2 linked regions of the Rhinolophus ferrumequinum genome follow. The protein of the gene in region 1 interacts with the protein of each later gene in a pairwise test. Links are inferred from orthologs where the notes say so. Each region holds a gene or a part of one and is shown on either strand. Other genes may lie near its edges.

Evidence for each region.
Region 2: the proteins of FOSL1 (region 1) and USF1 interact in binary tests that used the Homo sapiens proteins (3 or more experiments, as listed by UniProt). The link is inferred for Rhinolophus ferrumequinum from reciprocal best matches to the Homo sapiens genes FOSL1 and USF1.

Annotation. Positions count from the first base shown.
Region 1 is NC_046294.1:5,926,513-5,942,219, forward strand, and holds FOSL1 (fos-related antigen 1), read left to right. Parts: upstream 1-7,145; 5' UTR 7,146-7,914; coding exon 7,915-8,007; intron 8,008-9,996; coding exon 9,997-10,194; intron 10,195-11,920; coding exon 11,921-12,028; intron 12,029-12,421; coding exon 12,422-12,832; 3' UTR 12,833-13,500; downstream 13,501-15,707. Other genes in the region: CCDC85B (coiled-coil domain-containing protein 85B), read right to left, coding at 14,368-14,976.
Region 2 is NC_046305.1:2,245,993-2,262,310, reverse strand, and holds USF1 (upstream stimulatory factor 1), read left to right. Parts: upstream 1-8,938; 5' UTR 8,939-9,076; intron 9,077-9,825; exon of another isoform or gene 9,826-9,915; intron 9,916-10,652; 5' UTR 10,653-10,737; coding exon 10,738-10,745; intron 10,746-11,121; coding exon 11,122-11,171; intron 11,172-11,263; coding exon 11,264-11,379; intron 11,380-11,698; coding exon 11,699-11,800; intron 11,801-12,012; coding exon 12,013-12,208; intron 12,209-12,419; coding exon 12,420-12,507; intron 12,508-12,641; coding exon 12,642-12,700; intron 12,701-12,784; coding exon 12,785-12,879; intron 12,880-13,095; coding exon 13,096-13,224; intron 13,225-13,385; coding exon 13,386-13,475; 3' UTR 13,476-14,106; downstream 14,107-16,318. Other genes in the region: ARHGAP30 (rho GTPase-activating protein 30), read left to right, coding at 496-640, 1,472-1,554, 1,699-1,806, 2,370-2,497, 2,967-3,138, 3,218-3,321, 3,402-3,479, 4,028-4,429 and 2 more; TSTD1 (thiosulfate:glutathione sulfurtransferase), read left to right, coding at 14,389-14,458, 14,667-14,789, 15,203-15,365, 15,453-15,504.

The sequences.
Region 1 (15,707 bases):
GAAAAAAAAAAAGAATCAGCTGAACCGGCAGAGGCCAGGAGAGGGCAGCGAAGCATTCCCGCCAAAATTTTCCTCTCTAGGGCTTTGACTCCTTTCCAAACCCCAATCCTTTTCTCCCGAGTCAGAGCCTCCCTTTCCTGTCTGCCAACCCCCCTCCCCGACACCACACACACTCAGACATGCACACCCAGGAGCACGCGTGCACACTGAGAGCTCAGCCTCCAGGCCCCAGAGCCTGGCTGATCCTGTTTCCTCTGCCCTGGGCCAGGGTGTTGGAGGGGAGGGGAGAACTGTGGCTCCATGGGGCATGGCTAAGGGCCCCACAGAGGCAAGCTGTGCCCTATCTGGATCCCATTCACAGGCTTCATGACTCACCCCCTCGCCCCCCATGATTCAGTTTACACGGGTGCCAGGAGGTACTCCCAGCGAGGGTGGGGCAGTTTACTGGCCCTGGCCAGACCCGCCAGCCTTTCATCCTAGGATGGGAGAGTCCAAGAACTGGGTGACAGGCCCCAACTGCCCTGGGCCCAGGCCTTCAGGGAACAGGAGTTGCTCCAAGAAACTTCCGGACCAGGCTGAGCAGGCAGAGCCTTCCTGGGCACCGACAGCAGAGAACTTACTGCCCTCCATTCAGAGGAGAGGGTCTACATGGCACAAAACATAACATCAAAAGAATTCTCATTAACATTTATTAATTTCTTTTTTTTAAAAAAAAGATTTTATTGGGGAAGGAGAACAGGACTTTATTGGGGAACAGTGTGTACTTCCAGGACTTTTTTCCAAGTCAAGTTGTTGTCCTTTCAGTCTTAGTTGTGGAGGGCGCAGCTCAGCTCCAGGTCTAGTTGCCATTGTTAGTTGCAGGGGGCACAGCCCACCATCCCTTGTGGGAATCAAACGGGCAACATTGAGGTTGAGAGGACGCGCTCCAACCAACTGAGCCACCTAGAAGCTCAGCGGCAGCTCAGCTCAAGGTGCTGTGTTCAATCTTAGTTGCAGGGGGCGCAGCCCACCATCCCTTGCGGGAGTCGAGGAACTGAACCAGCAACCTTGTGGTTGAGAGTCCACTGGTCCATGCGGAAATCGAACCGGCAGCCTTGCCTTTGGCATTAGGAGCACAGAGCTCCAACCGCTGAGCCACCTGGCCGGCCCCAACATTTATTAACTTCTTTTTTTTTTTTTTAAGATTTTATTGGGGAAGGGGAACAGGACTTTATTGGGGAACAGTGTGTACTTCCAGGCTTTTTTTCCAAGTCAAGTTGTTGTCCCTTCAATCTTAGTTGTGGAGGGCGCAGCTCAGGCCCAGGTGCAGCAGCCATCCCTAGCTGCAGGGGGCACAGCCCGCCATCCCCTGTGGGATTCGAACCGGCAACCTTGTGGTTGAGAGCCCACTGGCCCATGTGGGAATCGAACCGGCAGCCCTCGGAGTTAGGAGCATGGAGCTCCAACCGCCTGAGCCACCGGGCCGGCCCCCTATTAATTTCTTACTATACCAGTCCCACACTGAGCACCATCCATGTTTTATCTCATTTACTCCAACAATCATGAAAATCAGGCATAAACATTATCATATCGTTTTTTACAAATAAGGAAACTGAGGCATAGAGAAGTTAAAGGAATGGCCCAGGTCTCATAACCAGGAAGTGACTCAACCCCAGGCTATCTAACTCCAGACTTCATGCTGTTATCCGCTTGGGGTCCAGAGCTGTGCTGATAGGAGCAGGGATGAAGGGCCCAAGACCTGACCTGCCCCTCCCCCAGTGGATCTCCACTGAAACTTCTGGTTTGAAGGATCACCATATGTAAACTACTAATCTGCGAGAAGGGGAAACTGAGGCTCCAAGAAGGGAAGGGACTGATGTGAGATTGCATAACAAATCAGAGGTGGGCTAGGGCTGGGACAATATCTGTGATGCCCTTCCAGCTGCCTGGGCTGGAGAGGTGGCCAGGGAGGGGAGGAAATTCCAGGGAAGGAGATGGTAACCCAACTCCTTTCCCTCTCTGCAGCCTCAGAGTCCTCATCTGCCTCATGGGGACAAGACGGCCATCAGAGCAGTGTGACATGAGGCTCAAAGGACAGCAGATGGACACTTGTGGGTGCTCAGCCGGCATCTGGAGAATGGGAAGGGTGATAACCAGGCCCTGGAGGCAGCAGCCCAGCCCCCCTCTCACTCTCCTCTTCCTCAGCCCAGGCCATCAAACTCAACTTTGTGTTGTTATCCCAAGCTGTGCTGGTAGGCTAAATGCAAAATCTCCCCAAAAGGCAAAATCTTTAAAAATTATCCTAAGCAGGTTTAAAAAAAAAAAAAAAAGTAATATCCTGCATAGTGCTATGGGACTGTATTGCATAAAGGATTTAATCTAGATGAGGGATTTATGGAAGGCCTCCTGAGGAAGTGGTGGGGAAAGTGAAATCTGCAGGGTGAGAGAGAGTTGGCTGTGTTAGGAGATGAGGGAGGGCATCCTGGGCAAAGGGAACAGCCTGTGCAAAACTGAGAGGCTCAGTCCGGCAGAGAGCCTGCAGCTGGGAGAGTAACTGGAGGCTGAGAAGGGAGGAGCCTGGGCAGGCGGCCCAGGTCTGGAAGGATCTGGAATGCCATGTTAAGGATTCTGGCTGATTCAAGAGACAGACTAATGAGACGTTGAGAAGCTCAGGTTTTGGCCACTGACTGCTTAAGTTCAAATCCTGGCTGCACCATGTCCTCATTGTGTGGCTTGTGGCAAGTTGCTTAATTTCTCTGTGCCTACATTCCCTAATCTGTAAAATGGGTATAATAGTATCATCTATTTCTACAGGGCTGTCGTGAGAATTAATAAATTGCTTTGAAACAGATATGGTTCATAAGAGCTCAATGAATGTGAGCCACAAGTGTTACCCTCTTGGCCTTCTAAGCACCCCACAACCAACATGCAACCTAAAAGAAAACAGGGTGTATCACGCACACCCACCCCACCCCTTCCCAGGCTACAGGGCCTCCTGTGTAGAAATGCAAAGGGTGCCATAGCTTGAAAGGGTCCAAGCCTAAGGGTGAAATGGTCAGAATTTTGAAAAGATTCCTCTGTGAACATTGTCAGGATTTTTAAAATCCCTCAGGCTGCTGGGTGGGCAATGGAAAAAAGGGAGCTGAGCTGGAGGCCTTGGAGAGTGTCCAGAAGAAAAAGGATGGGGCCTGGACTAAGGAGAAAAAAATGTTTGTTGAAGTGAGTTGAAATGTCACCTCCAGATGTGGGGTGACTGAAACGCTTATGCACTGCTGGTGGGATGTGAAACGGTCCAACTACTTTGGAGAACTGTTGGAGAGAATCAAAGCTAAATGTGTACCCTAGGACCTAACAATTCCACCCCTGGGCACATATCCAAGAAAACAGCAGCCTTATTCTCAATAGCCCCTCTGGAAGAGTCCCCAATATCACCATCAGGAGCATGAAGGGAGTGATTGTGGAATACTCGGGCAGTGACATGCTACATACACAGTAATAGGAGAGACCAAGCTACTACTTTATCCAATGATGCAGATGAATCCCTCACACAGGTTGAGGAAAAGAAGCCAGACCCAAGAGAGTGCACGCGGTATGGTTCCATTTCTACGAAGTTTGAGAAGAGGCAAAACTAACCTATGATAATAGAAGTCAGAATAGTGGCTACTTATGTGGGGAGGGAGGAAGTACAAGGAGCTTCTGAGCTGTTGGAAATGTATCTTTTTCTAAAATAAATTTTTATTTTTATTTGTTTATTTATTTATTTTTAAGGAGGGCATTGCTCACGGTGGCCCGTGCAGGGATATAATTGGCAATCTCGGTTATCAGCACCGCGCTCTAACCAACTGAGCTAACCAGCCACCCCAGAAATGTCCTATATCTTGATCAGGGCAGTAGCTACACAGGTTTACATACATGTAAAATGTCATTAAGCTGAACGTGTTTGATGAGTGCACTTTATGTACGTTAAACTTCAATTTAGTCAGCAAACTAAGTATAAGAAGCAAAATTATAAAACTATTAGAAGAAAACATGGGGGTAAATGTTCATATATCTAATAAGGGTTTGGTAGCCAGAATATATAAAGAACTCATAAAATTCAATAACAACACAAAAAGCAAGCAACCCAATTAAAAATGGGCAAAGGGCTTGAATAGACATTTGTTCAAAAAATATATACAAATGCACAACAAGCACATGAAAAGATGTTTATTGATCATTACAGAACACGATTGTTTTTTAAGGACGTGCAGATCAAACACAACGAGATACCACTTTACATCCTTTAGAATGTCTTTCATTTTATAAAATGGAAAATAAGTGTTGGCAAAGATGAGGAGCAATTGAAATCCTCATACATTGCTGATGGAAATGTAAAACGGTGCCGTCACTTTAGAAAACAGTCTGCCCATCGTTACAAGGTTAAACAGAGTTTCCATATGACCCAGAAATTTCACTCTTAGGTATACACCCAAGATAAATGGAAACACACGTCCACACAAACAACACTTGTACACATGTCCATGGAGCATTATTCATAATGGCCAACAAGAATGTCCATCACTTTAAGAATAAATAAACCAATTGTGGTATACCCATGCAATAGAATATTGTTCTGCCATAAAAGGAACAAAGTACTGATACATGCTACAACATGGATGAGCCTGGAAAACACTATGCTAAGTGAAAAAAGCCAGATGCAATAGGTCACATACTGTAGGATCCCATTTATATGAAAAGTCCAGAATAGGCAAATCCATAGAGACAGAAAGCAGATTAGAGGCTACCAGGGGGATGGGGGAGGGTAGAATTGGGAGGGATTACTTAATGGGTATGGGATGTTTTTCTGGGATGATAAAAAAAGTTTTGAAACTAAAGAGAAGTGGTGGTTGCACAACATTGTGAATGCACTAAAGTCCACTGAAGTGTACACTTTAAAATGGTTAATTGTATGTTATGTGACTCTCACCTCAATTTTAAAAATAAACTCCAATTTAAAAAGTGAATGGAAACTGAAAAACATAAACATCACCTCCAAAGCCCTGGGGGCACTGATAGAACCTACTGGGTGCAAAGCACATTCCTCCATTACCTCCTTTCTCCTCACTGCAGCCCCAAGAAGTGGGGATTCTCAGGGGCTCAGAAAAGGAAAGTGACTGAGCCAGGCTCACACAGCTGCCAAGAGACAGTGTCTGGGTCTCTCAGACCTCACAGCCCCCAGACTCCTCTAATCACTGGGGCCCCCTGGGATTCTCGCTTGGCCTCCCTGGGTCGGGGCTGGTGAGGTCAGGGGCCAGGAACGTTTCTGCAGCCACCAGGCAGGCGTTAGTGACTGAGGAGCTTGGAATGTGCTGCCTCTGAAAGGACCTCCTTGTGGCTCCACCGACGGTTAGAGCAGGAAGGGACTTTCAGAATCATGTAATCACACACACACACACACACACACACACACACACACACAGACACACACACACTTGAGACCTGAGCCTGGCTCAGGCACTGCCCCAGGCTGCGTGGGGAGCAGACTGGGTGGTGTTTCTGAAGCAGGCAGATGGATGCCGTCCAGGCTGACCTGATTCAGGCCCTGCATGTGCCCCGACCTGGCCCCCTGTGTCACCCTGACCTGTCCAGCTTGGACTCAGCCAAGGAGTCCAGATATCAGTTAATGAGCGTGTGTGTGCACACGTACGCTGCACGAGGACTTTAGGGTGTGATCAGAGCCCCAAGGGCTCCCAACCCTGGGGTTTTTATTAACATGTGTATTTAGTTTTACTATTTGTCAAGTTCTTACTATGCTGTGCTTACACATATGTGTTATTTCTATTCTCCAGCAACCCTGAGATGTAGTTATTATTATGTCTCCATTTTACAGATGAGCAAACAGAGGCATTGAGAGATTGTGTGCCTCACCTGGGTCATACAGCTGGTGAGCAGCAGAATTCAAACTCAGAGCCCAGAGTTGTCTGATTCCAGCATGTGTGTTCTTTCCTATGGGTCACACTGCCTCAAAAAATCTCTCTGTCTCTGTCTCTGTCTCTCTCTGTCACACACACACACACACACACACACACACACACACACTTCTACATTGCTCATTCTGGTAAATTGCAATTGGTTTCTTTTCCTTTTAGAGAAAGATAAGCATTGAGTAGAACAAGAGCAAGGAGGAGGCACCAGCCTGGTAACCACCTTCTGAGCGCCCAGCAATTTCCAGCTTACAAAGCACTTTCACATTTGTGATCTCATTTGATCCCACAGCAGCCCCATGAGGTCAGCAGGAGGCTCAATTATTCCCACAGGGACTGGGACTCAGAGGGTAGGTGACCAACCACCTAGGGTCACAGAGACAGAAAATGGTAGCTCTGGGACTGGAAGCCCAGGGCCAAGCTAGCCTTCTGGCTCTAAGTCCTGTGTGTAGCCACAAACCCCTGGCCTCTGTCCCCAAAACGGCAGCCCAGGACTCTACCTCCCTGAAGTTTTCTTTCCCTGAAGACAAAACTTGAGCTGATCAAATGGAAGCACCAGTAGAAAGCCAGAGAGCCCAGCTCTCTTTCTGTAGCTGTGTGACACTGGCAGTTCCTTCCTCCCTCTGGGCTTCAGTTTCCTCATCTGTAGAATAGGAGGAAGCAGAGAAACTTTGGGGTGGTCTCAGCACTGACATTCTGCACGTGTGAAAAGGCATCTATGAGGGCTTTGGAAGATCTTGCCTGAACCTGGGCTTGGAGCTCTCACAGCCCTAATTTGGCAAAATGCTTCAGCCACCCGTTTAGTGATCTTAGGCACTTCATTTCAACATCTCTTAGCCTCAGTTTCCCCATCTGCTAAATGGGAGTGATGATGGTACCTACCTCCCAGGGTTGTTGGCCTTTGGTTGTTGATATTTGACCTTGGCCTCAGTTACATAGACCTTTGACATAATCTCCAAACAAAGCTGATGACCACACAGCCCCAGAAGAGCGCGAACAGTATTTAAAGAAGATGGCATTTTTCAGGCCACAGAACTGAAAGGCTCTAACTGCTTAGAGAGGCTCTGAATTAAAAACTTGTTATAGCTCCTGAAACTATCCTGTGAGCAGCACAATTATATTGCCTCCTATTTGTGGGTAGTTCAAAGCATTAACTTGTTCACTGCAGGCATTTAAAATATACCACCACTTTTGTAACCCCGGTTTGTCATTTATTCACTTTTCGATATACTTGAATCTTAAAACAATGCCAGTAGAAGTGCCCCCACGCCACGACAGGAAGTGTTGGATGGTAGTAGTATTGTTCCTGGCATGAAATAAGCATCCAGTGAATAATAACAACAATAATAGTAATAGTAGTAGTAATAATTATAGTAATATCAATCATATTCAGAATCCCCTTTAGTTTCCAGACCCTTTTCACATTCTTCATTCCAACTCCCACGGGCAGCAAGGTATCTATGTGAGTATTTCTTCCCATTTTACGGATGGAGAAACCGAGGCCCTACCAGGAGGTGAGAGGGCGCGGGCGCAGGCTCGCTGTCTGCGCCTGGTGGCCGGGCGGGACGGGGCGGGGCCCTGGATGCTCGCAGGTGCGTAAATCTGCGGGGGAATCCTCGGCTCCGCCCGGGTGCGGCGAGGAAATTGCACCATGTATGGGCAGCTGCGTCAGAGGGGGCGGAACCGCCGCTGTCGCTGGAGGACGCCAAGTCCTCCCTTCCCTCCCCCCCAAAAAAAGGCTGCTACGGGACGGTAGGAGGCGTCGAAAAGTTCGGGGCGGAGTGGCAAAAGTCGGTGCGCCTGGAGAGGCGGAGCCCTGAGGTGACCCGCACCGCTGCGCAATGCCCCCACCCCCGTCGAAGTGGTTCAGCCCGAGAACTTTTCATTCATAAAAAGAAAAGACTCGGCGCGGAGCGAGTGAGTCAGAAGCCAAGCCGCCGACGCGGACCCCACAGTGCAGCCAGCCCAGGGCATGTTCCGAGACTTCGGAGAACCCGGACCGAGCTCCGGGGCCGGCGGTGCGTACGGCGGCCCGGCGCAGCCCCCGGCCACAGGCCAGCATCAGGTGAGGGGAACCTGATGCCTGGGACGCTAAGGTCCTCTGCCCCACGCTCCGGACTGGGACGGGAAGCAGGAGTAGGGACCGGCCCTGGGGGCCGTGGTCGTGGGTCCTGCCCACTCTTCGTGGTCCGCGGGCACTTTCCCTCACAGCCCCACGGAACGCGCGCGGCGGGCGGAACAAAGATCTGCACACGTCCCCTCTCTTGCCCCCTTTACCGTAGCTACCTGTCCTTCGGTCTCTGTTAACTTCTTTCTTTCCTCCTCTCCGCCGCTAATTTCTTTGTCACCTGAGTTAGAAGGGGACCCCGGACACCTGGGTTAGTCCTAGCCCTGACAGGGTCACAGGGTCTCATTCATCTCGGACTAAATTCCTGGGAATGGGATCGGAGTCCGAGCTGCGACTGAGATGTCCCCACACAGGAGGGAGGCGGGATCCATCAGCAGGCTAGCCTTGACAGACTGGGAATCCTCCGCACTCTCTGTGACCGTTTGTGTGTCTGTCCGTTTGTCTGTCCCTCTCTACCCGGTAGCCAAGTCCCTATCCCCTTCTCGGCGCAATGCAGTCTGGTGGGCTCCGGGACACTGGTTCTTGACCTCTTCCTTTACAAGTTGGGGCCAGTGGAGACCGCGAGGTGCCGGGACGTGCCAGGGGTCATGTGGCGGGTAACGCCCCCATCCCTGACTTTCGGCACCGAACGGCGCCCGCTGGGGGTTGGGGGGACCCGGGAGACAGCAGGTGCCCATTTCCTGTCGAGGGGCGGCGAGCACGTGTCGCTAGGGGAGGGAAGGAGCGGCGTCCGTTCCGCCGAGTCACGGCGGCCGAGTCACGGTGGGTGACTCACCCGGGGCGCCCCTCCCTTCCTGGCCCGGAGCGGCGGGGGCCCGGACAACCTCGGAGCGCGAGATGCCCCCGGCGTTGCCTCAAGACCGGAACTGGGGTCACTGGGCCACTGGGACTTTAGCGTTGGGCCGGGGACACCGCTGTACGGACTTGCCTGGGCTTGAGATGGCGCTTCCCGGACGACGGGGCGCCCACACCCACAGCCCAGTCCCAGGGCTTGACCTCAGTTCCCCTCCCGAACACTGAGCCCCCATCTCAACCCATTCCTCACCTTTCTGACTGAAAGATACCTGGAGCACAGACCGTACAGCCAGGCATGCTGGGCGGTTTTCACCGCATTTACCGTATTTCACAGAATCTAAGACCCTATTCTTTTAAAACCCATCATTATTTTGTACCACTAAATTTCTTTAAAAGTTGCCAATTAAACTATGCTTTCAGATCAACTAAAGGGTACTTCTTAGCATCAATGAAATGCCATAATCCTCACCTATGACAATATTAAAACCGAGGAAACTGAGGCACATTGAAGTTAAATAACTTGCTCAGAGTCACAGCCAGTAACCGACTGAGCTAAGATTAGAATTGGGACAGCCTGAACCCAGAGCAATGTCTCTTGCCCCCCACAACCCCTAGTACCTGCCACTTACCAGGCTCTGTCACACACATTATCTCACCTGATTCTCACAGCCACCCTCAGAGTTAGGAGCTGTAATTATCCTCTTTGTGCAAATGGGACTCAGGCAGGATGCAGGAGTGGGTAAGAGCCTGGCTGCCTGGGCCCAAACCCCACTTCCCACTTACCAGCTGTGTGTCTATAGACAACTGTTTTCCTGTCTGAAAATGAAGATACTGTTGTGCAAAGTATATGAGTCAGTATTTGCAAAGTGGTTGGGACAGTGCCTGGAATTCACACTTTATAAGTATTAGCTCTGATGGGAAAATGGAGGTAGAAAGAGGTTATGTGACCTGCCTAAAGTCACACAGCTCACGAGTGGGAATTTGTCAGTCAGTCTCTCTGACTGCCAAGCTGTGCCCTTTCTGGTCTCTCAGGGGCTGTCTTGAGGATGGACAGAAGTGTGGCTTCTGTGTACCGGAAGCCCCTCGATCCACACAGACCTCACCCCTGGCCTTCCATTTCTTATTCCTCAGAAGTTCCACTTCGTGCCAAGCATCAACGCTGTGAGTGGCAGCCAGGAGCTGCAGTGGATGGTTCAGCCTCACTTCCTGGGACCCAGCAACTACCCCAGGCCTCTGGCCTATCCCCAATACAGTTACCCACAGCCCCGGCCAGGAGTCATCCGGGCCCTGGGGCCACCTCCAGGGGTGCGTCGCCGGCCCAGTGAACAGGTAAGGAACAGAGGCTTTGCACTGGTTTTGATGCCCTCAGGGGTGCTAAAGTGCACAGGACAAGCTCTTGCCCAAAAGGAGAATACAGACTTCGAAGGGGGGAGAAGGTAGCACCACTGGTGATTATTGGCCAAGGAGGAAAATACAAGGAATCCCTGGGGAGACCCAGAGGGCAAAGAGGTCACTTTTGGATCAGGGAGGCATAGTAGCAAAGAAGTATGGGTAGGATTTGCATAGATAGAGTTGACATTCCAGGTAGACGGGATGGCAAGAGCAAGAATGGAGATGGAGGTGAGGACATGTAAGGTGTGCATGTGGAAAGGTACATGGACAGTAGTGGGTATCTACCTGTTGATATGTATGAAGAGGGTGGACTTATGCTGCCTCCGTAGCTTGGGAAAGAACAGAGAGGGTTGCCTTTAGCTACTTTTTAGGCCTTTTTCCCTTTCATTTAAAACCTCACAAAAACCCTCTGGGGAATGCGCTCTGGTTTTCCCCATATTACAGCAAAGGAAATGAAGGTGCCGAGAGGTAAAGTCACTTGCCCAAGATCGCACAAGGAGTGAGGAATGAGACAGGTCTATCCAATTCTATAGTTAGATCCTAACCACCAAGCCAGCCTCACCCAGAGCTAAGAGAAGGCTTGAAGCAGAGTAAGCTGGGAATTCTTGCCTCCCCAACCAGGGTTCCTGCCTGCACACTGCTAATAAAGTCCTTAACAAAATACATAAGAGATAGAGTCTTTAAGGGAGGGGCACCTCTTTTCTCTTCCTGGAGCATTTGGTATATGAGACTGTAGTGGGTGAGACTTACACGTTCAAGTGATTGCTCTGACAGCAGGGTAGAGGAGGGGGAAGGAGGCTGGGATCCTGGGAAAGATGCACACTCAGCCACCGGAGGCTTTCCCAGAAACAGAATGGTTGGCCTTTGTGACCAGCGGGAAGGGGACTGTGATGTGAAACCCAGAGGCAGACTCCTGGGTTTTCTTCCTTCAGGGTGACCTTTGATTCTGGGTACTCATAGACTGAGGCTGAGGTGTGAGTGGTGTCCTTTCGGGGGAGGTGCTCTCCATCAGCTGGCGTCCTGCTTCATGTTGAATAGAGTGGATTTTAATTTCTGCTCTAGGGCCACAAACAAGTTATTCATCCTCCCTGGGCTTCAGTTCCTTATATGGAAAGTTGTGTTAAGAATGAATCTACCTAAAGTGCTTAGCTGGCACACAGTAGATTCCCAATAAATAACTACTTAGCAGCACTCATTAGCCTCTCCTAGTGCTTACAGCCCTTGGAAAAGCGGAGACTTGGTTATCAAGAGACTGAAAAGAATAGGGGTCCTTCGAAAAACAGTGGCGGTCCCAGGAGCGCCAAGGGGAAAAGGCCACTTACTTCTAGCTGGGGAATGAGAGAAGGCTGCTTCCCGGAGGCGGAGGTATCTTAATTGAGTCCTGGGAGATGAGGAGGTTTGTAGAGGTACGGGGGAGGGCATTCCAAGAGGGGCATCGCAGAACACAAAAGCTGGGTTCGAGGAGGAAATTTGACTAATGCAAGTTTACTAAAGCGTGTGTGCGGGGAACCGGTCAGGGTGCGATGATACTTAAAACGCAGGATGAGGGCACCCCCGCGCTGCCATGCCTTCCACCAGGGTCCTACCACTGGGTCACCGCACCAAGCAAGTGGCCAACAGCCAGTGGCCCAGGATCCACCTCATTGCTCCCTCAACCCCCCAGATCAGCCCAGAGGAGGAGGAGCGCCGTCGAGTGAGGCGCGAGCGGAACAAGCTGGCCGCGGCCAAGTGCAGGAACCGGAGGAAGGAACTGACCGACTTCCTGCAGGCGGTGAGCATCGGTCGGTGCAGAGGGTGTCCAGGCCCGGGTCCACCGAACCTCCGAGGGGCCCCGGCTCCCGTGAGCCCACGGGGCCCCAGTATATGAAGTCCTCTCCCCCAGCTCCCTGTCGGAGGGAGTCCTTCGGGGAAAAGGACGAGGAAAAAGGGATTAAAAATTAGTTGCAACATGCCTTACTCGGAGCAGAGCAGAGCTGAAGCCTCAGCTGACAATCTCCTAAGACTCCCCCAGCCCGATTGGAGTCGTGCCCCTTTTCTCCCAAGGGCTCATGGGAGTTGTAGTTCAGACTTGTAGACTCCACTCATCCTACCCCAACCCCGCAATTACTACCACCGCGGCTCGGCGCTCATCTTCTTGACTCCTCTCCTGACCCTCTTCTTGCAGGAGACCGACAAACTGGAAGACGAGAAATCAGGGCTGCAGCGAGAGATTGAGGAGCTGCAGAAGCAGAAGGAGCGGCTGGAGCTGGTGCTCGAAGCCCACCGCCCCATCTGCAAAATCCCGGGAGGGACCAAGGAGAGGGACACTGGCGGCAGAGGCGGCACCAGCAGCCCACCAGCCCCTTCAGGCCCTGTGCCTTGTATCTCCCTGTCCCCAGGGCCTGTTCTTGAACCCGAAGCATTGCACACCCCCACGCTCATGACCACACCCTCCCTGACTCCTTTCACCCCCAGTCTGGTCTTCACCTACCCTAGCACCCCTGAACCCTGTGCCTCAGCCCATCGCAGGAGTAGCAGCAGCAGTGGGGATCCGTCCTCTGACCCCCTCGGCTCCCCCACCCTCCTGGCCTTATGAGGCACCTCAGCTCCCCTCCTTGCGGGTGCTACACTAGCCAACATCTCCCCATCCTTTGGTCCAGCTGGCCTGGGCCATATCCTGTGCCCAACCCCAGCAGGTTCTTCTCCATCCCTCCAGATGAGATTGAGCATATTTTGCTTCCTGGGTGAGCCAGCTTGGGGCCACCAAAGCTGCCCAGTTTCTCTAGAGCTGGCCTCTCTAGCACAGTTTGCACTAAATCAAAGAAAAAAGATTTCCCATTTGTGCAAGAGGACTCCTGGCAGCCCCAAAGGACTTTGTAGATTCCTAGAGGTCCTCTGGAGCCCTAACCCCCTCCAGACCACCCCTATAGTCTTCATCACCCTCTTCCTGTGATCCACCCAACCCTACCCCTTGACAAGTGATATGCTACCAGCCTAGAACACTAACTCACCCTGCCCCACTGCCAGCAGCACCAGGTGATTGAATCAGGGCATTTTGCCGGCTCCTCTTGAATGGCACAGCTCAAGAGGGTGCCAGAGGCTTCTGTGATGAGCTGACCTGCAGCCCCCAGCTCTGAGAAGACTTTAGCTCCAGAGATTCCAGGGAATCCAAGCCTCCACCGCAAGGGCAGCTGCTATTTATTTTCCTAAAGAGAGTATTTTTATACAAACCTGCCAAAATGGAATAAAAGGCTTGAAGCTTTGGCCTGGTTTCATTGGAACCCAGAGGCTAAAGGGAGAACATTTGGAGCCAGAAGCCCTAGGCTCAGTCCTCAGCTTCACCGACTCACTGCATCAACGTGGACAAGTTATTTGATATTTCTGGACCTCGACTGTCTTATCTGACAAATGAAGTTACATCTGTTCTGCCTCATCTCCAGGATTGAGAGGAAGAGAGTGCTGTGGGATGCAAGCCAAGAGGGTTGTCATCCTCCTCCTGGTGGGGGCCCGTCTAGCTCCTGCGTGTGCCACAGGAGGGCGCTGTTATCGCTGTTAAGCCCCTTCCAGCCTCAGGGGAGGTGGCTGAGTGGCTTGTAGGCCCCCAACACCTGCTTCCTGCCCCATTGTCTTGGACAGGAAGGAGCCGGGAAGAGAGCTGGAGCCACTTCAGGGGCTGGATCAAGGCCTGGCCGGGGCTTGACGGTGGTGGTGGGGGAGGTGTTGCCAGTGGCTTACCACGGTCCCACAGCCCGCCTCAGGCTTGAGGTAATGGGAGGAATCAGACACCTTAGTTCTGCAGCCCCTCTGGATGAGAATGATACCCGTCTCAACATCCCCGCCCTTGTCCTAACCTTGGCGAGTCCCAAACAGACGCTGCCCAGGCCAAGGGCTCTGCTTCCGTCCCAGTTTATTAGACCCCACCCAGCCCCCTGCAAGTCCCTCCGCTCCACTTCCAGTCCCCCTGATGCCCTGCCAGGGAGAGCGAGGGCCCTCCTCAGTGCCAGGGTTTCTAAGTCCATGCCTGCGATCGCTCGTGTGTAGCCGGGGAGGCTTCCAGGTCCTGAGGTCCACCGCAATTCGGGAGATTGGGGAGCCATCCCGGCGGGCGTCGGCGCGAAGGAAGCTGCGTCCTCAGTCATCTGGGGAGCAGGCCAGGGGCAACTGATCGGGACTCCCCACGCTGCCAGTGCTGGAGCTTCCATCGCCCAGGTCGCGGGGCCCGCAGGGGGGCAAGGCGAGCTCGGGTGTTGGCCCGGCGCCTGAGCCCCCAGCGCCGCCGGGGCCGCCACGGGGGCCCCATTCCTCGCCCAGCGCCAGGCAGAGCTCCTTAAGTGCAAGGTTCTCCCGCAGCAGCTCCTCCTGGCGGCCCTCCAGCTCGGCCAGCTTCTGCCAACAACCGCCGAGGTCCTCGCGCACGGCCCGGGATGCTTGGGTCCCGAAGAGCTGCCACTGGCGCGCGGCGCGCCGCCCGCGCTGGCGCTCCGAGTCCAGGAAGCAGCATAGGTCGCGCAGCTCGCGGTTCTCGGCTTGGAGGCGCCGGTTGAGCTGCTTGAGCTCGCGGATCTCGCCCAGGTGACCCTGCAGCTGCCGATTCACCTCCTGCATGAGGCGGCCGCGCTGCACCAGAGCCGCCAGGCGCGCCGCCTCCTCCCGCCGTAGGCGCCGCACCAGCTCTTCCTTGCCCAGCGCCGCCATCTCCTCGTCCGTCAGCTCCTCCAGGCCGCCCACCTCGGCCTCCATGGCTGCTCAGGCCTCTGGAGCATCGCCTGCCCGCCGCCGCAGCCCGGGAGCCCCACGTGGAGCCCAGCACCTCTCTGGCTCCGGCTCCTGCTCCGCGGAAAGCAGGCTGTGGCAGGATAACATAGGTTGCTGCAACCGCGCGGGGGTGGGCACGCGGCGTGGCGCGCGCCGGGGCGGGGACGCGTTAAGGAAGAACAGCCAATCCAGGGAAGCCTCCCCAAAAGCGGTGGGGCCTGAGCTCTGAGAACGCCCCTTCCCCGCCCACTCCCGACCGCCGAGTCCCAGATTCTACCCGACTCTGGATCCCGGTGTCCTCGCACCCCGCTCCAGTCAACCCAAAACGAGGCGCTTCGTACCTCCCAGTTTCAAACCTCCTTGAGTTCGAGCCTAGGCCTCTCCGCTCCTGAGACCCAATTCTCCGGAGTGGTTCCTGGAACTCTCCCGCCCACTCCCCTACAGACCCAGACGGATCGTCTTTCCATCCTTCCTTAGCTCGAACTCGAGAGTCTCGGCTCACTGAGCATCGCTCCCGGCTCCTCCGACCCCTAAGTCCAAACGTCCTGGCTCACCATCAGCCTACCCTCCCTGCCACGGAGCGTTTCCTGCCCGGGAGTGGGGAACGGGGTGACATACAAGGGATTCATTTGTTCAATAAACTTTTATTGTGTGCAAAATCCATGCAGAAATAAATTTGATCAATGTCCTTATCTTGTCCTCAAAGAAGTCTTAAT
Region 2 (16,318 bases), on another chromosome or scaffold:
GGAGAAATGTCTATTCAAATCCTTTGTCCATTTTTAAATTGGGTCATTTGCCTCTTTTGAACGGTAAGAGTTTCTTTAATATGCTGGACATTAGACAGTTTTCAAATCTGTGAGTCCCACATACTTTCTTCCACTTCGTGGGCGGGCCTTACCTTCCTGACAGTGGTCTTGACACACAACAGCTTGTGATTTTAATGTTTAATTTATTTTCTCTTTGGTTACTTGTGCTTTTCATGTCAACTGTTGCCTAAAGCAAGGTTACGAAGATTTACACTTATGTGTCCTTCTAAGAGTTACACGCACCCATCTTACAGGTACCCAGGACACATTCAGGCTCATCCCCCTCTCCCACTCACCCCTACAGACCCCACATCGCAACTCACACCTGCAGCTACAGCCCTGACGGGCGTCCCCGTGGACATGCAGTTGTGTCCTCACCTCCGCTCTGCATGCGACACACACGCCCACCCTCCCTGAGTGTCTGCACCTCCCCAGGCAGGAGTTCGAGGCTGAGCGGAAGCCAGACCTGCGGCGAGACGTGTACCTGCAGGACATCCACTGCGTGTCTTCGCTGTGCAAGGCCTACTTCAGGGAGCTGCCCGACCCCCTGCTCACCTACCGGCTCTACGACAAATTCGCTGTGAGTTCAGCGGCTGGGGGGCTGCTCCGGGGTTGACATCCTAGGTGTGTCCAGTGATCCTGAGTGACAGGGACTCATCCCTGGGGAAGACCCCTTCCCTGAATCTCCTCTCCCCTGCCTGTGCCCTCCCCACCCCTCCCCTTCATCCTTTCCCTAAGGCCTGTGGACCACATGCAGGGGTGACACTGGGGGAAGGAGTAGGGACCAGGGGGTCAGAGCCCCAAGGCCCTTGGAAGTCACCTGGACTGAGCTCCCAACCATATGCAGGGGTGACACTGGGGGGGGCTCTACTTTTAAGGGAATGAGAACCCTTTTTAGAACTCTCCATGAACTGCTTGTGTGTTGACCATCTGTAAGAAAACGTGACAAAAATGCTGTCCAGAAGGAACCTTTACCACAAGTTGAACTTTACTGAGTGTGGCAGTATTTGGAGCTCTGACCGCTGTGGCCGCCGGTGGCCCACCGCGGCTAACCTGCGTAGGCGTGGCCTCCCAGGGCGCCTTGGAATAGCCATGCCCAGGGGCACCCACGGTGTGTGTGTGGGGGGCATGGCTGCAGTCCAGTGACAGAGAGCCATCCACAGAGGACTACAGCACAAGGTGGCAACGAGTTGTTCAGGGCCACAGATCTTTTAAGTGGCAGAGCCCAGATTCAGCGCCAGGTCTGTGTGCCCCAGATCGGAGCCGTCTGCTGCCAGTGTGTGTTGTTTCCTGTGGGGCAGGGACACTGGGCTACAGCCCAGCTGTCAGAGAGTCTGGCTCAGAGCTCCAGGCAGTAAGCAGGGCCAGTGCTGCAGCACTGACTCCGGCTTCTGGAACCACCCCCAATCAGGAGGCTGTGGCAGTGCAGCTGGAGCCCGAGCGCTTGGTCAAGATCCTAGAAGTGCTTCGGGAACTCCCCGTCCCAAACTACAGGTGTGTGTGGCCCCCCACCCCACCCTGACGCCTCTACACAGCCCAGGCGCACGCTCCTCCTGGCGCCAGCTCCCAGGCCCCAGCCCCACGCCTGCCCTGTGTGGCCCTGTGTGACCCGCTGGCCCGTGGTGCCCCTTTCTGCAGGACCCTGGAGTTCCTCATGCGTCACCTGGTGCACATGGCCTCATTCAGCGCTCAGACCAACATGCACGCACGCAACCTGGCCATCGTGTGGGCTCCCAACCTGCTGAGGTGGGCAGTGTGTGGGGACGGCTCCGGGAGGGCTGTGGCTGTGTGGGTCCACTGGAGAGGGCAGAGGGGAGCTCGCGGAGCCCGGTGAGAAACGCGGAGGTGCAGGGTCACCCTGAGTGGGGTGGCGCTCACCCCGTAACCTGCTCTGAGTGTGGGCAAAGTCCCTATGGGCAGCCCTTTGAGTATCATCACAGTGTCACCGAGCTCAGGGACTTGAACAGGACAGGTCCTCGTCAAGTGTTTGTTGGGCAAATATCTTGCAGTCTGTTGGAGAACTGGCCTGCATATCACTCTTTATGGTGCAAGGCAGATTGTGAGAAATCCCGATATTCATTATAAACAAGGCACCCTGGGTGTACGAGAAGGTAGAAATTAATTGAGACGAGGATGTCCAAGAAGGCTTCCTGAAGGAAGTGGCATTTGAGACTTGAATCGTGCATATGGTTTAAGAGAAGGAGATGGCTCTAAGGGCATGCAGGGGAAAGGGTGTAAAGTATGTGCAAGGAGAATTCAGGGAAGGCAGTGTGGTGGGGCTGGGGGAGAATAACTCCACGTCTCCACAGGTCTAAGGATATAGAGGCTTCAGGCTTCAATGGGACGGCGGCCTTCATGGAGGTGCGTGTGCAGTCCATCGTGGTCGAGTTCATCCTCACGCACGTGAAGCAGCTCTTTGGGGGTCCTGCCCTCTTGAGTGAGTGTCCTTCCTGCCAAATCAGCACTTCCGTCTGGGAGTCGAGTCAGAGCCATAGGAAGCCTCAAAGGGGCTCTAGTTCAGTCTGCACGTTTTACAGATGAGGAAACCGAGCCTTGCAGGGAGGTGGTGCTTCCGGCCACCTCTTCAGGGAGAGGGCCTGGAGAGACTATGGTGCAGTCAGGACTGGAGCAGGCTGCTCTCGGTCTGGGCATAGCTTGACTTCTTAATCGCCATCCTGGCTCTCAAGCTGGTGACTGATCATTGTCACGCCAGCCCACCAGGCCAGTGTCATTGGGATCTCCTGGCCATTTGTCCTGGAAAGCTCACTCCCTCTTGAGGGGCCAGACAGGGCTCTCCGGGCATACCCGTAGCCTGGTAGTGGGTGAGTGGGCAGGTAGATGAGCTGGGTGCCTGCAGCCCTGTCTTGTTTCTGTTCTTGGCCGGTCAATCCCTCTTCTTTTCCAAGGCGGTGAGATGGATATCGGATGGCGGTCCCTTCCAGGGGCCCGGGCGTCGGGCAGCCCTGAGGACCTTATGCCCAGGTCCCTGCCCTACCAGCTGCCGAGCGTCCTGCAGGCTGGGGATGGGCCTCCACAGATTCGGCCCTACCACACTATCATCGAGATCGCCGAACACAAGTAAGGCCTCCTTCCTGGACCCTCCTGCCCCACACTGACAGCCAGGTGCCAACCCCAGTGATTTCTCCATCCCTTCCAGGAGGAAAGGGTCTTTGAAGGTCCGGAAATGGAGATCGATCTTCAATCTGGGTCGCTCTGGCCATGAGACCAAGCGTAAACTTCCGCGGGGGGCTGAGGACAGGGGTAAGTCTGGGGAGGTATGGGGGAGCTGCAGCGCGGGTGGGGGGGCCAGGCCCTGCCTCTATGCTGTCCCTGCCTTGCAGATGACAAATCCGATAAGGGGACTCTGCGGCCAGCCAAGAGCATGGACTCACTGAGTGCTATGGCTGCGGCCGGTGATGGTGAGTATAGGTGTGCATTCCTGTGTGTCTGCGTGTGTGTGTGCACGTATACCCATGTGTGCATGTGCGTGCGTGCATGTGCTGTGTTATTAACAGCACGGGCCTGTGAGCACCTGTGTGGAAGCGTGTCTGTGAGGGTGTCTGTAAGGGCATAACAGTATTATGAACAAGATCACTGTGAATTCATGTGTGTGTGTGAGTGTGTGTGTGTGTGTGTATGTGGCCAAGTGTGCTCACTAACTTAAAAACTATGTAATGAGCGCCTGCTACATACCAGCCACCAAGCCAGGTGCTGAGTTAACAGTGGTGACTTCATTGCCCCTCTGTGGGTGTCCCGAGAACAAGCAGAGACAGAGTGGTGTGGGCGTCACGGCCCGTGACTATCTTCAGGCAGGGAAAGGGGTCCTTGGTATGTAAGTTCAGGCAGGTGACCTTGGGCCTGCTGGCTGTGGAGTGTTTGCTGGAGTGGCCAAGGGAGCTGGGAGCATTCCTGAGGCGTGCAGGTCCATTGCAGCTGGGGCTGTCGCCCACCTCTGTCCCCTCCGCAGAGCCAGAGGGGCTGGTGGGAGCCAGCAGCCCCCGGCCAAGCCCGCTGCTGCCTGAGAGCTTGGAGAGTGAGTCTGTGGAGGCAGCAGACGGTGAGCCAGAGCCGGACGCAGAGGCCCCGGGCAGCAGCAACTCTGAGCCCGGCACGCCGCGAGCGGGGCGGTCAGCGATCCGTGCTGCAGGCAGCAGCCGTGCGGAGCGCTGTGCTGGTGTCCACATCTCAGACCCCTACAACGTCAACCTCCCGCTGCACATCAGCTCCATCCTCAGCGTGCCCCCAAACATCATCTCCAACGTCGCCCTGGCCAGGCTCACCCGCGGCCTGGAGTGCCCTGCCCTGCAGCCCCGGCCAAGCCCTGCCTCTGGCCCCGGCCCCGGCCCCGGCCTTGGCCCTGGGCCCCCAGGTGAGGACCCAGGGGCCGCCCAGCACTGGGAGAGGGGACTAGAACTCCAGGTGGACCTGGGACGTTGGGGACATCGGAAGCCGCAGGCCTCGGGCTTTGGGTGGGTAACTTCAGCTGGCTCCCTGGTTCAAGGCTGGGGGATCCAGTGATATTTATTATGTCTGAACTTGTGTGAAACCCACAGAGAGGGGACCGGTCATCTACCCAAGGGTGGGGTCTGTGTCAGGGGTCATCGAGTCCAAGGTGGGGACGTGCACTACGTCATGGGAATAACAGTCATCACACTAACTCTAACAGCTGACATTTATCAAGGGCTTATCACACACCGAGTGCTGAGCTAAGGGCTTTGCAGGTGTCAGCTTATTTCGTTTTCTCATAATCCGTGACACAGGTGTTATCCTGTTACAGCAGCAGGACCTACCTGAGACTTGGATTAAGCAATTCGTTACTGATTTAGGTGGGAGGTGGCAGAGCTGTGGTCTGACCTTTGCTCTGACTCCACTTCCTCAAGAGTCACTGGTGACAAGTGCTGGGGCATACAGGGCAGTGGGTAAGGACGTGGGCCGTGAAGTTGGCTCATGTGGGTTCAGATTTCGTCTGTGCTACTTGTTATGTGACCTGGGACAAAGTGTTGACTCTCTCTCAGAGTCTCAGTTCCCTCATATGTATAATGGAGATAAATGTCCCGATAGGCTGGTTTTGTGTGGAAGGTAAGACAGCATATTGAAAAATGCATAGATGGTGCTTGGCACCTGGTGGGAGCCCAGTAACGGCAGCTGGGAGCCAAAAGTTCCGGTGCTGGGCCCACGCTGCAGCAATTGCTAGGAAGGGCTTTGACCTTTGTATTCCTGGGACTACCTTTCTTCCGACAGACGAGAAGTCAGATGCCAGTCCTGCCCCAAGCCCCCTGGCTGGCTCAGACCCAGAGGACGTGGCCGCGGGACTGGAGGACTGCCTGTCTCAGGAGGTGCAGGACTCCTTCTCCTTCCTCGAGGACTCAAGCAGCTCAGAGCCCGAGTGGGTGGGGGCGGAGGATGGAGCGGCAGCCAAGGCAGGAACTACAGCAGCAGCCTTCTCCCCCGGGGAGGACGATCCTGGGATGAGCTACCTGGAGGAGCTCCTGGGAGCTGGGCCTCAGGTGAGGAGGAGCTGGGCCGGGCTTGCGGGCGGTAAGCTGGCCGCAGGGGAGGCAGGACCAGCTGGTCCTCAGACAGTGCTATGCCCACAGGTGGAGGAGTTCTCTGTGGAGCCGCCCCTGGATGACCTGTCGCTGGATGAGGCACAGTTTGTCCTCGCTCCCAGCTGCTGTCCCCTGGACTCTGCTGGCCCCGGGCCTGAAGCAGAGGAGGAAAATGGGGAGGAAGTCTTTCTGAGTGCCTACGATGACCTAAGTCCCCTTCTGGGGGCCAAAACGCTGGCCTGGGAGGGTCCCGGCAGTCTGGAGGACGAGGCCACAGGGTGCAGGACTCAGGAGGCTCCAGGGCAGGCTGAGGGACGGCAGGCACACGGGGAAGTTGGGGACGACAAGGAGGCTGAGCCTGGCAGCAGGTGGGACGTCAGGGAGGAGGCTGAGGGGAGCCCAGAGAGGGAGCTAGAGGCTGCAGAGGCAGGTGAGGACGGAGGGGAGGCTGGGGGAAGCCGGGAGGTGATGGTCAGTCTGAGTGGGAAAGACACAGAGGCCATGGGCGAGGAGCCCAAGGGTCAGCAGGAGGAGGAGAGTCTGGAGGAAGCTAAGGGTGTGGAGGACACAGGAGGGGAGCAGGGGAAACACCAGAAGGAAAGGAAGACTGAGCGAGAGGAAGAGGCTGAGGAAGGAGAGGAAGCCCAGGTAGAAGCTGAAAGGGACCCAGAGCTCGAGGCCCCGGAGGACAGAGGTGCTGATGACAGCCAGGGAGCTGGACACAAACAAGAGGCTGAGGGAGGCAGAGAGGACGAGGAAGAAGTCAAAGGACAGAGGGAGAATGGGGACCAAGGGGCAAGAGAAGACGAAGGAGATGGTGAAGACGGCAGAAGTGCAGACGAATCAGCTGAAGGAGGAGTGGGGCAGGTCAGCAAGGAACGGGAGAGTGGAGACGGAGAGGCGGAGGGAGACCAGATGGCTGGAGGAGAACATTTAGAAGACGACTTCCTCTTTGAAGGGCCTTGTGGAGAGTCCCTGGAGGTTGACGGTGCCAAAGAGGGCAACGCCCAGCCCTCTGAGATGGAGCGGGCAGCCCCACAGCCACCTCGGCCCGAGGAGATGGAGCCTGAGGGGCAGCCCAGTCCGGAGGGTTGCAGCCTGCGGCCCTGTCTCCTGGGCCCAGCCGGTGGTGTGAGCATGCGCCTGGCTGCCACCCTGGTTCAGGTCCAACAGGTGCGCTCCGTGCCAGTGGTGCCCCCTAAGCCACAGTTTGCCAAGATGCCCAGTGCAATGTGTAGTAAGATCCACGTGGCTCCTGCAAACCCATGCCCGAGGCCTGGCCGGCTAGACGGGACTCCTGGGGAGAGGGCTTGGGGGTCCAGAGCCTCCCGCACCTCCTGGAGGAACGGGGGCAGTCTTTCCTTTGATGCTGCTGTGGCCCTGGCCCGAGACCGACAGAGGACTGAGGCCCAGGGAGTTCGGCGGACCCAGACCTGTACTGGGGGAGAGGACTACAGCGTCCTCCCCAGAACCTCCCCCTGTAGCGTGACCCCTGCCCATTTCCTTCGGCCCCTTAGCTGCTTGGAGCTCCCATCTGAAGGCACAGAAGGGTCTGGATCCCGGAGTCGGCTTAGCCTGCCCCCCAGAGAAGCCCAGCCCCCTCACCCCTTTCTGCCCCCACAGCGTCGAACTTATGCATTTGAGACACAGGCCAGCCCTGAGAAAGGCGAGGGACTGTGACGGCCAGAGCACTGGGCAAAGGGGACAGTAGTTGTCCTGAATCTATGGGTCCCTGACCAGCTGTGACTTCTGCAGCCTGAGCAGCTGTGGAGCCCACCTCTATGGGTGCCGGCCCTCTAGCTTCTCTCTGACTGTGGGAGGCACTGCCTCGGTTGGTTTGCCTGAACTTGGCTCAGACACAAAGCGCTTATTCCTTAGGAGATCCCCAAGAAAAGGTCCTGTTCCTAGGGAGTGAGGTCACTGGCCAGAGGGAAGAAAGAGCAGGCAGAACACTTAAGAGGCTTCTCAAAGTGAAGACTGAAGGGGGAACTCCAGCCATGTTTCTGCCTCCTCTGAGGCTGTGAACTTCTCTCCGTGGAAGCCCCCAGCGTGGGGGTGGGGAACAGGGCCAGCTCCGAGCCTTTCACACACAAACACTTGTAGGGTTGCTCAGCTTGTTCTGTTCTTGGACCCTGTATCCCTGCTGGCCCTCTTAGTCCCTGAGTAGGAGTGACTCCAGCAGGCTCTTTGAAGACCTCGGTGTTTGCTGGAGGGACTGGCTCCCTGTCTATCCCCTTCCACCCCTGCCTCTGTCCCTTGAAAGAAGAGGCCTGTCTGGCATCTCCTTTTTCCTTTGGAGTCATTTCCTTCTATTCCAGGGAAGGGGAATTGCTTCCCCAGGCAGGCTGGGGCCTCCAGTCCCATTCTAAGGACAGGGTGACGGTTCAGAATACAAGTTGTATTTTTACATGGAAACAGTGTGGAATTTCATTATTCTTATGCGAGTCTCGGGGGATAGGTATGACAATTTCATAGTTTGGCCAATTGTTGTCGTCCTGTTGTTCGTGAGCTCTTCCTCAGTTGCCATGGAGACCTGTGGCTAGAAACCAGAGCTGGGTTCTTGGCGGTCAGGAGATGGGGAAGAGAAACCTGCGTTTACATAACGTTCCCCACGCGCCAGTGAAGGCTGGGTCTCCGGTGCGCACGGAGTCTCTGCCCTCGGCTGTATGTAGCTCTGTCGGGTGGGGACTGGCCTCTCCATTGTAGTCGAGGAAACTAACGCTAACGAAGCCCAAAGGCCTGCCAGCGGTGTGGGCGGTAACGCGCGGCAGACGCGGCTGGGACCCGTGGAGTCCGGCTCCGCTCGTCCCGTCACGCCGCGCTCCTCCGAACCCGACGGGGGCAGGGCGGGTGCTGACCGACGAGGACGGGAAACGAGGTCCCCGTCACTGGCTTGAGCCTGAAAAGCTGGGGGCCCGGGGACGGGGGTGTTTGTGTGCAGCGGTCAGGCCTGAGCGCGCCCAGCCACGTCCTGGCCTCCAGCAGGAAACACTGCACGTCGTGCCCCGATTCCCCCTTGGCCGCCCGGGCGGCCTCGGTAAGGACGGCGCGGCGGCCACGCCCGTGCCCACATCTCTGCGGGCCTCACTCCCTCTCCCGGAACTGAACGAAACGGCTGCGTCCAACAGGAAGAGCGGAGCACAGTTAGGCGGCTCCCTCCAGCTGTCGCCGAAAGTGCAGCCTCGCGTCATCCTTCCGGGTTCCCGGGAAGTCTCCGCCCCTCGGCCCCAGCCACGCCCCCGCGCGACGCTCCCCCCAGCAGCCCTCAAGGCGCAGCGAAGGGAAGTGGGCAGCAGCTCCCGGCTGGGCGGGCCCACGGGGCACTTCCGCCCCTCAGCCGCACTTCCGCCCCTCAGCTGCATGGCCGCGCGCCGGAGCCGCGCATGCGCAGCGGTCCATGGAGCTGCCGGAGTCGGGACAGGGGCTGCTCTGTCGGGGAGAACCGGCGGCTGAGGCGGCCTTGGCCCGTGAGTGCGGGGCCCGCGGGAGGCTGGAGGCTGGGTGGGCCGGCCAGACAGGGCGGCCGTGGCTCTGTTTCCGTGTTTCAGGTCTGGGGACGCCTGGGGAAGCCTTTGTTTTGAGGGAGGGGCCGTGCCAGGCTCTTTATCTCCCACCCGCTTTGTGGGCCGACTCGCGCCCGCCCCGCGCGTCCCGCCCTGCGCGCCCGGCCGAGCGCGGCGCCCTCTCGGCCGGCTCGGCGGGGCCGGGGCCGGGGCCGGGGCCGGGGCGCGCGCCTGTGGCCGGCGGGCCTGCGGGAGACGCCGCCGCGCTCCCCGGCGGGGTCTGCGCGCCGGCTGCTGTCGCGACGGGACTGTTGCCCCTTTGTGTCCGGACCGAGTAGGGCTCTCGCTGGGCCCTCGTCGCCCGAGCGTGCACGGCCCAGCGTCCCTTCCTGCTCTCGGTGTCGCGTGCCCCTCGTGCGCAGGAAATGCTTCCGCACGTCCCGCGAGGATGTGGATGCGCAGCCCGAGCCGGCTGCTGTCCTCGGCGGCTGTCCCTGGCTGACAGCTGTGGGCGCTGGAGACGCCTCCCGCGCCCGGCGCTCGTTCATCGCCGCCTCCTGCAGTCAGCGCCGCGAGCCTGGAGGGGCACTGTCCCCGCAGGTTCCAGGACGGAGAAGCAGGTGGTCCCCAACGCCGGCGCCACTTCCCCTTGGGGACTGGGCGCTTCTTGCAGCGGTACTTCCTCCGGACAGTTTCACTTTCAGTTCCCTCTGCTTTTTTGTTTTGTTTTGTTTGGTTAACACTTTCCTTGGATCCGGGCTTTCCAAGGGTCATCCGCTGAAGATTTTCCTTGGATAGGAAAGGTTTGGGGGACCTAATGGGTAGAGAATTTACACAAAAGTTACCCTTTCATGTGGGATTTATTTTATTGGTTTGTACCATGTAGCTGTTTCTTTCTGGAGGCATCTGTCTGCTCAACCCGTTGTTTTTCCTGCCCCCTGGCTGGGTGTCAGGGTCCTAAGGCAGGCACTTTGTGGATGGATTCCTCCCTCATTCATTGTCCCTTGTCTTTCCCAACCCTGGCCTGGAGGTTTCTCCCTTCTTGCTGAGGCTCCATTGATTTGGAGTTGTCATGGCAACATTGTAGCAACTCTGTTGTTCTAGGCTCGGTGAATAAAATACATGGGGCTTGAAGAGGATACACTTGGGCTTGAAGAGGATACACTTGGGCTTTTGAATCTTTAACCAATAACAAATGACATAAATCTGCACACCCCAAAACAAGAGCCCTGTCACTGGAATGGGGCCCGGGGGGCCAAGTGTGGCATTGATAATTCGGGAGGGTTTTCCAACGGCAATGGGGTTCAAGTTTTCCCTTCCTAAGTTTGAGAACAGACATTTCTTGGTTCACTGTTTATACAGTTGCTTTTGCAGTCACTGTAGCCCCTTCCCCAGCATCAGAATGGAGGAAGCTGATTGTGCCCTGTTCTTGGCTGTGTCTTCATGGAGCCTAAGTTCTGGATATGGGCGGGTGGGGTGGGGTTGGGAGGAAGGCTCTTCAGTTTCCTAGAGTCACTGCAAACTACCTGATTTCTACCAGGACTTAGCACTCAGGCCTGTGAGTCAGGAGATACAAAGACTTCCAAAGAAGGACCAGTTCCTCGGATGTGCCCCCTCACAGAGAGATGAAGGGGTGAGTGAAGAAGAGGTAGGGTCTGGGATGGGGGACGGGAGGCCTAGAGAATGCAGAATGGCTCAGAGCACTGGCTCTGGAGCCAGGCAGGCCTGGGTTCAGGTTACGGCTCCATCACTTACTAGCTCTGTGGCTGCCCTTCCCTTCTGTAAAATGAAAGTAGTGTTACCAGCGCCGCTCTTGGTACTGAATAGGATGGTGCCTGTTCAGTGCTTAGCTCGGCTTTCATCCGCAGGGAACACTCAGTAGATTCTAACCTAACCTCGATCTGTGGGGAATGCCAGTGAGCTTGGGAGCCACATGTTACTGGGCCAGTGAGCTTTACAGTCACTCCTCCCCTGATCCTCCCCATGTCTCCCCATGCCTCCACAAACAGGCAGCAGAAAACAGCTGAAACGGAAGAGGGGACAGTGCAGATCCAGGAAGGTGAGTGGTAGAAACAGAAGTGAGCTGGGACCAAGAGCTCATCATGGCCGCTCTCTCTCCCATGGGCTACCTCCTGTGCTCTTGTAATTCAGGTGCAGTGGCAACTGGGGAAGACCCAACCAGTGTGGCTATCGCCAGCATCCAGTCAGCCGCCACTTTCCCTGATCCCAACGTCAAGTACGTCTTCCGAACTGAGAATGGGGGCCAGGTAAGGGAGGGGGCCAGGTGGCTGCAGGTGTTCCTGGGGGTTGGGATTGAGGGAGGTCGTTGAACCTGTCAGGGGAGACCTGGCTTGGAGGATGAGGTGAAGCTGTGGACTATTTAGGGGGTGGGGGTGGAGCATGACGTTTGCAGTAGAGATTGGTACGGGGTAGGGCTACGCTGAAACCTCCGTGTGGGGGCAGGAGGGGGAGAGGCTGGGTCTGTGTCCCTGAAGGGCTCTTATTCTATCCACGAGAAGCTCTGTGAGGGGCCCCGGGAGCCCTAACACGTACGCTCTCATCCTCTCTTCCCCTCCCTGCTTCTAGGTGATGTACAGGGTGATCCAGGTGTCCGAGGGGCAGCTGGATGGCCAGACTGAGGGGACTGGTGCCATCAGTGGCTACCCTGCCACTCAATCTATGACCCAGGTACAGGGGTATGGGTGGGGGAGGGAACTGGCTCTATGAAGAGTGAAATGAAGAAGGGAAACAGCACGGGGGCGGGGGGGGGGGGGGAGGAGGCGAGGCCCCCAGGGCTGCCTGTGCCTGTCTGGATGCCTCTCCCTCAGGGTCGCTACAGAGCAGTTCCTTGGGGGGTTATCTGACTGTCACTGCACTTAGTTCTCTTGCTCCCCTTGCAGGCGGTGATCCAGGGTGCATTCACCAGTGACGATGGCGTTGACACAGAGGGCACAGCTGCTGAGACGCATTACACTTACTTCCCCAGCACAGCCGTGGGGGATGGGGCGGCAGGGACGACATCCGGGAGCACAGCAGCTGTGGTCACTACCCAGGGCTCCGAGGCACTGCTGGGACAGGCGACCCCTCCCGGCACTGGTGAGATGCTGTGAGGTGCTGGCTGGAGGGGCTGGCATGGGCTCCCCGTGGCCCCTAAGGATCACTGAGGCCTGCGCAGGTGGGGGGTCTGGGGCTGCCCTTCCAGCAGGAGGAAGTTCTCTCTTGTCAGGGGCGGGTCCCAGGGCCTTGGCCTCAGCTGGGTGACGTTTCTCGCCCCGTGTCCTTATGGCACCCACCTGCACGCTCACAGGTCAGTTCTTTGTGATGATGTCACCACAAGAAGTGTTGCAAGGAGGTGGCCAGCGCTCCATTGCTCCCAGGACCCACCCTTACTCCCCGTGAGTAACCCTGTCTCTTCTCAGTTCCGTGAGTGGTCTTAGTCCCTGCCAAGTCTTGTGCGATTCCTGACCCCACAGTCCAATCTTATTTTCTGACCTTCCATCACTCTGGCTGCCCTGGGCTCCGTCGTCAGGAAGTCAGAAGCTCCCCGGACAACTCGGGATGAGAAACGCAGGGCGCAGCATAACGAAGGTAGGGGTGCTGGGCTCGGGGACAGCGGTGATGTCTGAGAGGGGGACCTCTCGCCGCTCAGCTTGTCCCCACTTTGCCCCACAGTGGAGCGCCGCCGCCGAGACAAGATCAATAACTGGATTGTGCAGCTGTCGAAGATCATCCCCGACTGCTCCATGGAGAGCACCAAGTCTGGCCAGGTCATGGCGGGACCCTGGCGGTGGGCGGGAGGCCCAAATTCTGTCTCCTGGGCCTGTTCCCAGATGTGGTCGCCAGTGGGCACTCACGGCCCCGCTTTCTTCTTATCTCTGTCTGAGGCTCCTCCGGGGACACCGAGGTCCAAAGTGTGAGCGTGCTTCTGGGACGCAAGCCACGTGTCTTATCCTACTCCTCGTTTTGTTGGCTTTTTCTTGCAGAGCAAAGGTGGGATTCTATCCAAAGCCTGCGATTACATCCAGGAGCTTCGGCAGAGTAACCACCGGTTGTCTGAAGAGCTGCAGGGGCTGGACCAGCTGCAGCTGGACAATGACGTGCTTCGACAGCAGGTAGATTCCTGCCCTCAGTGCAGCCCCCTGCGACCCCATAGCCTCTGGCCCAGTTGGGGACGCTGCACTTCGTTCTCATCTTTTTCCCTTCAGCGGTGGACATCTCAGTAAGTCAGTGCCACGCGTCTACCCCTCCCCTTATTGCCTCCTCCTCATGGTAGGTGGAAGATCTTAAAAACAAGAACCTGCTGCTGCGAGCCCAGCTGCGACACCACGGAGTGGAGGTGGTCATCAAGAGTGACAGCAACTAGCTGTAGGCATCCAGGGGCTGTGGGCCCTACAACCCTGTTCCCAGGACTGCAGACAGCCCAGGAGCAGCAGGCTAACCTGGGCCCCTTTCCTTCACTGCCCACTTCTGGCACGGACGGGACTGGGGGAGCTGAGAGGCGTGTGTCCAGAGGCCCTGTGGTAGCAGCCTGCAGGGGTGTGACACATGGATGTGTCCTGACAGCCTCGCCCAGCCCCACCGCGCAGCCCTGGGCCCTGGTGCCCCTCCCGCACAGTGCGTGTGCCGGCTCCATGCTGGGTACTGGACACACGGAAGTGGGGGGTCGCCCAATGCTCGCTCACAGTGCCAGCAGAGGGTCTGCTGAGCAGTGCTGCTCCGGCTGCCCCGGGACTCGGGAACTTGCACTGGTTCTCCCTCCCCTGGAGGTCAGAGGTGCACCTGAGGATGCTGGGGAACGGATGCTGAGCAGTGGCTGCTGCCCCAGGAGGAGAAGACTGGCCCTCAGCCGAGGCCTATGCAGGAGCCTCTGGAGCCAGGGAGAGCCACAGGCCGGGGCTCAAAGGATCTTCCCCTTCCTGGGGACTGTGTCTTTTTTCCCTTTTCTTTCCTTTTTTTTTTTTTTTTTTTTTTTAAAGATAAAATATTCAGAGCCACAGTTGTCTCCTGTTTTCCGTTCTTTTTTGGGCCCCTGGGGCGGGATGGAGGGGGCACATTGCGCTTTGACCAGTGAGGGCTGGGCCAAGATTCCACCGTGTGCTGCTCCTGTGCTCGTTACTCCGAGTTCTAGTACATGGGCCAGACCAGTGGGTCGTCACATACGCCAGGATTTCTCTGGTTGGCGAGTGTTAGCTGCACTGCGAACCAGAGCTGCGGGCCGGTGCGGGAGGCTATGCCTTGCTTCCGGTTCCGGTCTCTGTTCCCGGGGGACAGGAGAGATGCGGGCGCCCGTGGGCCGGCCAGGCAGCATTCCTGCAGCTGGCGATCGCGCGCGCACCATGGCTGCAGGTACCTGAGGGGGCCCTGGGGTCGCGTCCTGCCCTCCGTGTGGCCCCGCAGGAGGAGTGTAGTGGGGTGGGGGGCGTGGCTGAAGTCCACAGGTGCCCCTCCCAGTTGGGATGCCGCGGGGTGGGGTGTGCGACCTTGTGGGGCGCCGTGCGGGGTGGGAGCGCGGCAGGCCGGCCCCTCCAGGCATTCGTGCCCCCTTCCCCCGCAGCACCCACCGTCTTGCTCCCAGAACTCCGCTCGCTCCTGGCTGCTGGCCGGGCCCGGCTTGTGGACGTGAGGTCTCGGGAGGAAGCGGCCGCCGGGACCATCCCCGGGGCGCTCAATATTCCGGGTACCGGATTGGGGGGGGCGCCCGCCACGTGGTGGACCCAGGGGGTCTTAGCCGAGGGGCCTCACGTAGGGTGGTGCGGAGAGGCTCTGCCGTCCCTCCCCCCCAGCCGGCCCTTCAGGTCTGAGAGGTGACAGGCGGCGGGGAGGGGCTCCCGAGGCTGCGCCGCGGAGTCCCGCCTCTCCTCACTCCCCAGAAAGCGGCCTCAGGTCACAGGTGGTTTGGCCGACCTCCAGCGCAGGCCGGCGGCATCCTATCCTTGAGGTTGGGGGTGGTGGCCGCCATGTTGCTTTGGGGGTCCCTCGAGATTTATTCGACAACCAGGACCCAGTCCTTCCAGGCAAAACCTCTGAACCTGAGACCGCCAAACTGCGACTTTCCGACTTTCCGTTCTGTCCTCTGACTCTTCCTCCCAGTGTCTGAATTGGAAAGTGCCCTGCAGATGGAGCCCGCTGCTTTCCAGGCTTTGTACTCCGCTGAGAAGCCGAAGCTGGAAGATGACAATCTCATTTTCTTCTGTCAGATAGGCAAGCGTGGCTTGCAGGCCACCCAGTTGGCCCAGCGCCTTGGATACAGAGGGTATGGGGAGGGTGGCTGCCGGTGGGGGGCAACTGGGGACTGACTGTGCCCGGCCTGCCCTGTCCTCACCCGGTCCTGTCTCCACAGGGCTCGCAACTATGCAGGGGCCTATAGAGAATGGTTCCAGAAAGGAGGTTAGGTAGAAAGTGGCTTATGGACTGTGAGCCCAGCCCCAAGAGACACCTAACTGAACATGAGGAAGAGGCAGACTCGTTGGGGTGGGCCAATGCCTGTACACGCAAAAGCATCCAATAAAGAGCATTTCATCAAAGCCCTGGAAGCATCCAACTTGTCAGGTGAGTTGAAAACAATTCTGATCTTAATCTAGGTCTCACTTCAACCCTGAGTACTCCTTCCAGCTTCATCTACTCCCCCACCCTACACACACGAAACAAAAGAAAAAATCCCAGCAGTTTCCTGCGACTACAATTCTCCTTCTACAACAATTGTTTTCAGTCCCGGATGCACATCAGAATCACCTGGTAGCATGAAAAAAAAAATTGGGCCCCATCCAGATTTGGAATCTTGGTGGTGAGATCTGGGCACCCCCAAGTGAGCCCCTCGAGTGATTCGAATATGTGTCAGGAGCAAAAACCACTGCTGGAGACCAGAGAGCAGCACACTGGGGCCCCTGGCCTCATGTCCACCACTGGTCATTTACATACTGACTAAGGCCACTTCTGTGCCAACATGGCAGAATACTTGTAACAGACTTTGCGTCCTTCAAAACCTGAGATGTTTACTATCTAGTCCTTTCTGGAAAGTGTGCCTACCCTCGCTCTAGACCTTCAGGTCCCCAGTCCTAGCTGTTGGCTGTGGAGGTGGACGCTGTCCCTGTAGATGTGTTGAACACAGGCTGTAGGTGTGCGGGCTGCTGCTGTGCCACCAAAACCAGGACCCAGTTGTCATCAGCACTGCCCTCTGATCCCATACTGGGGATAAAAACATAACTG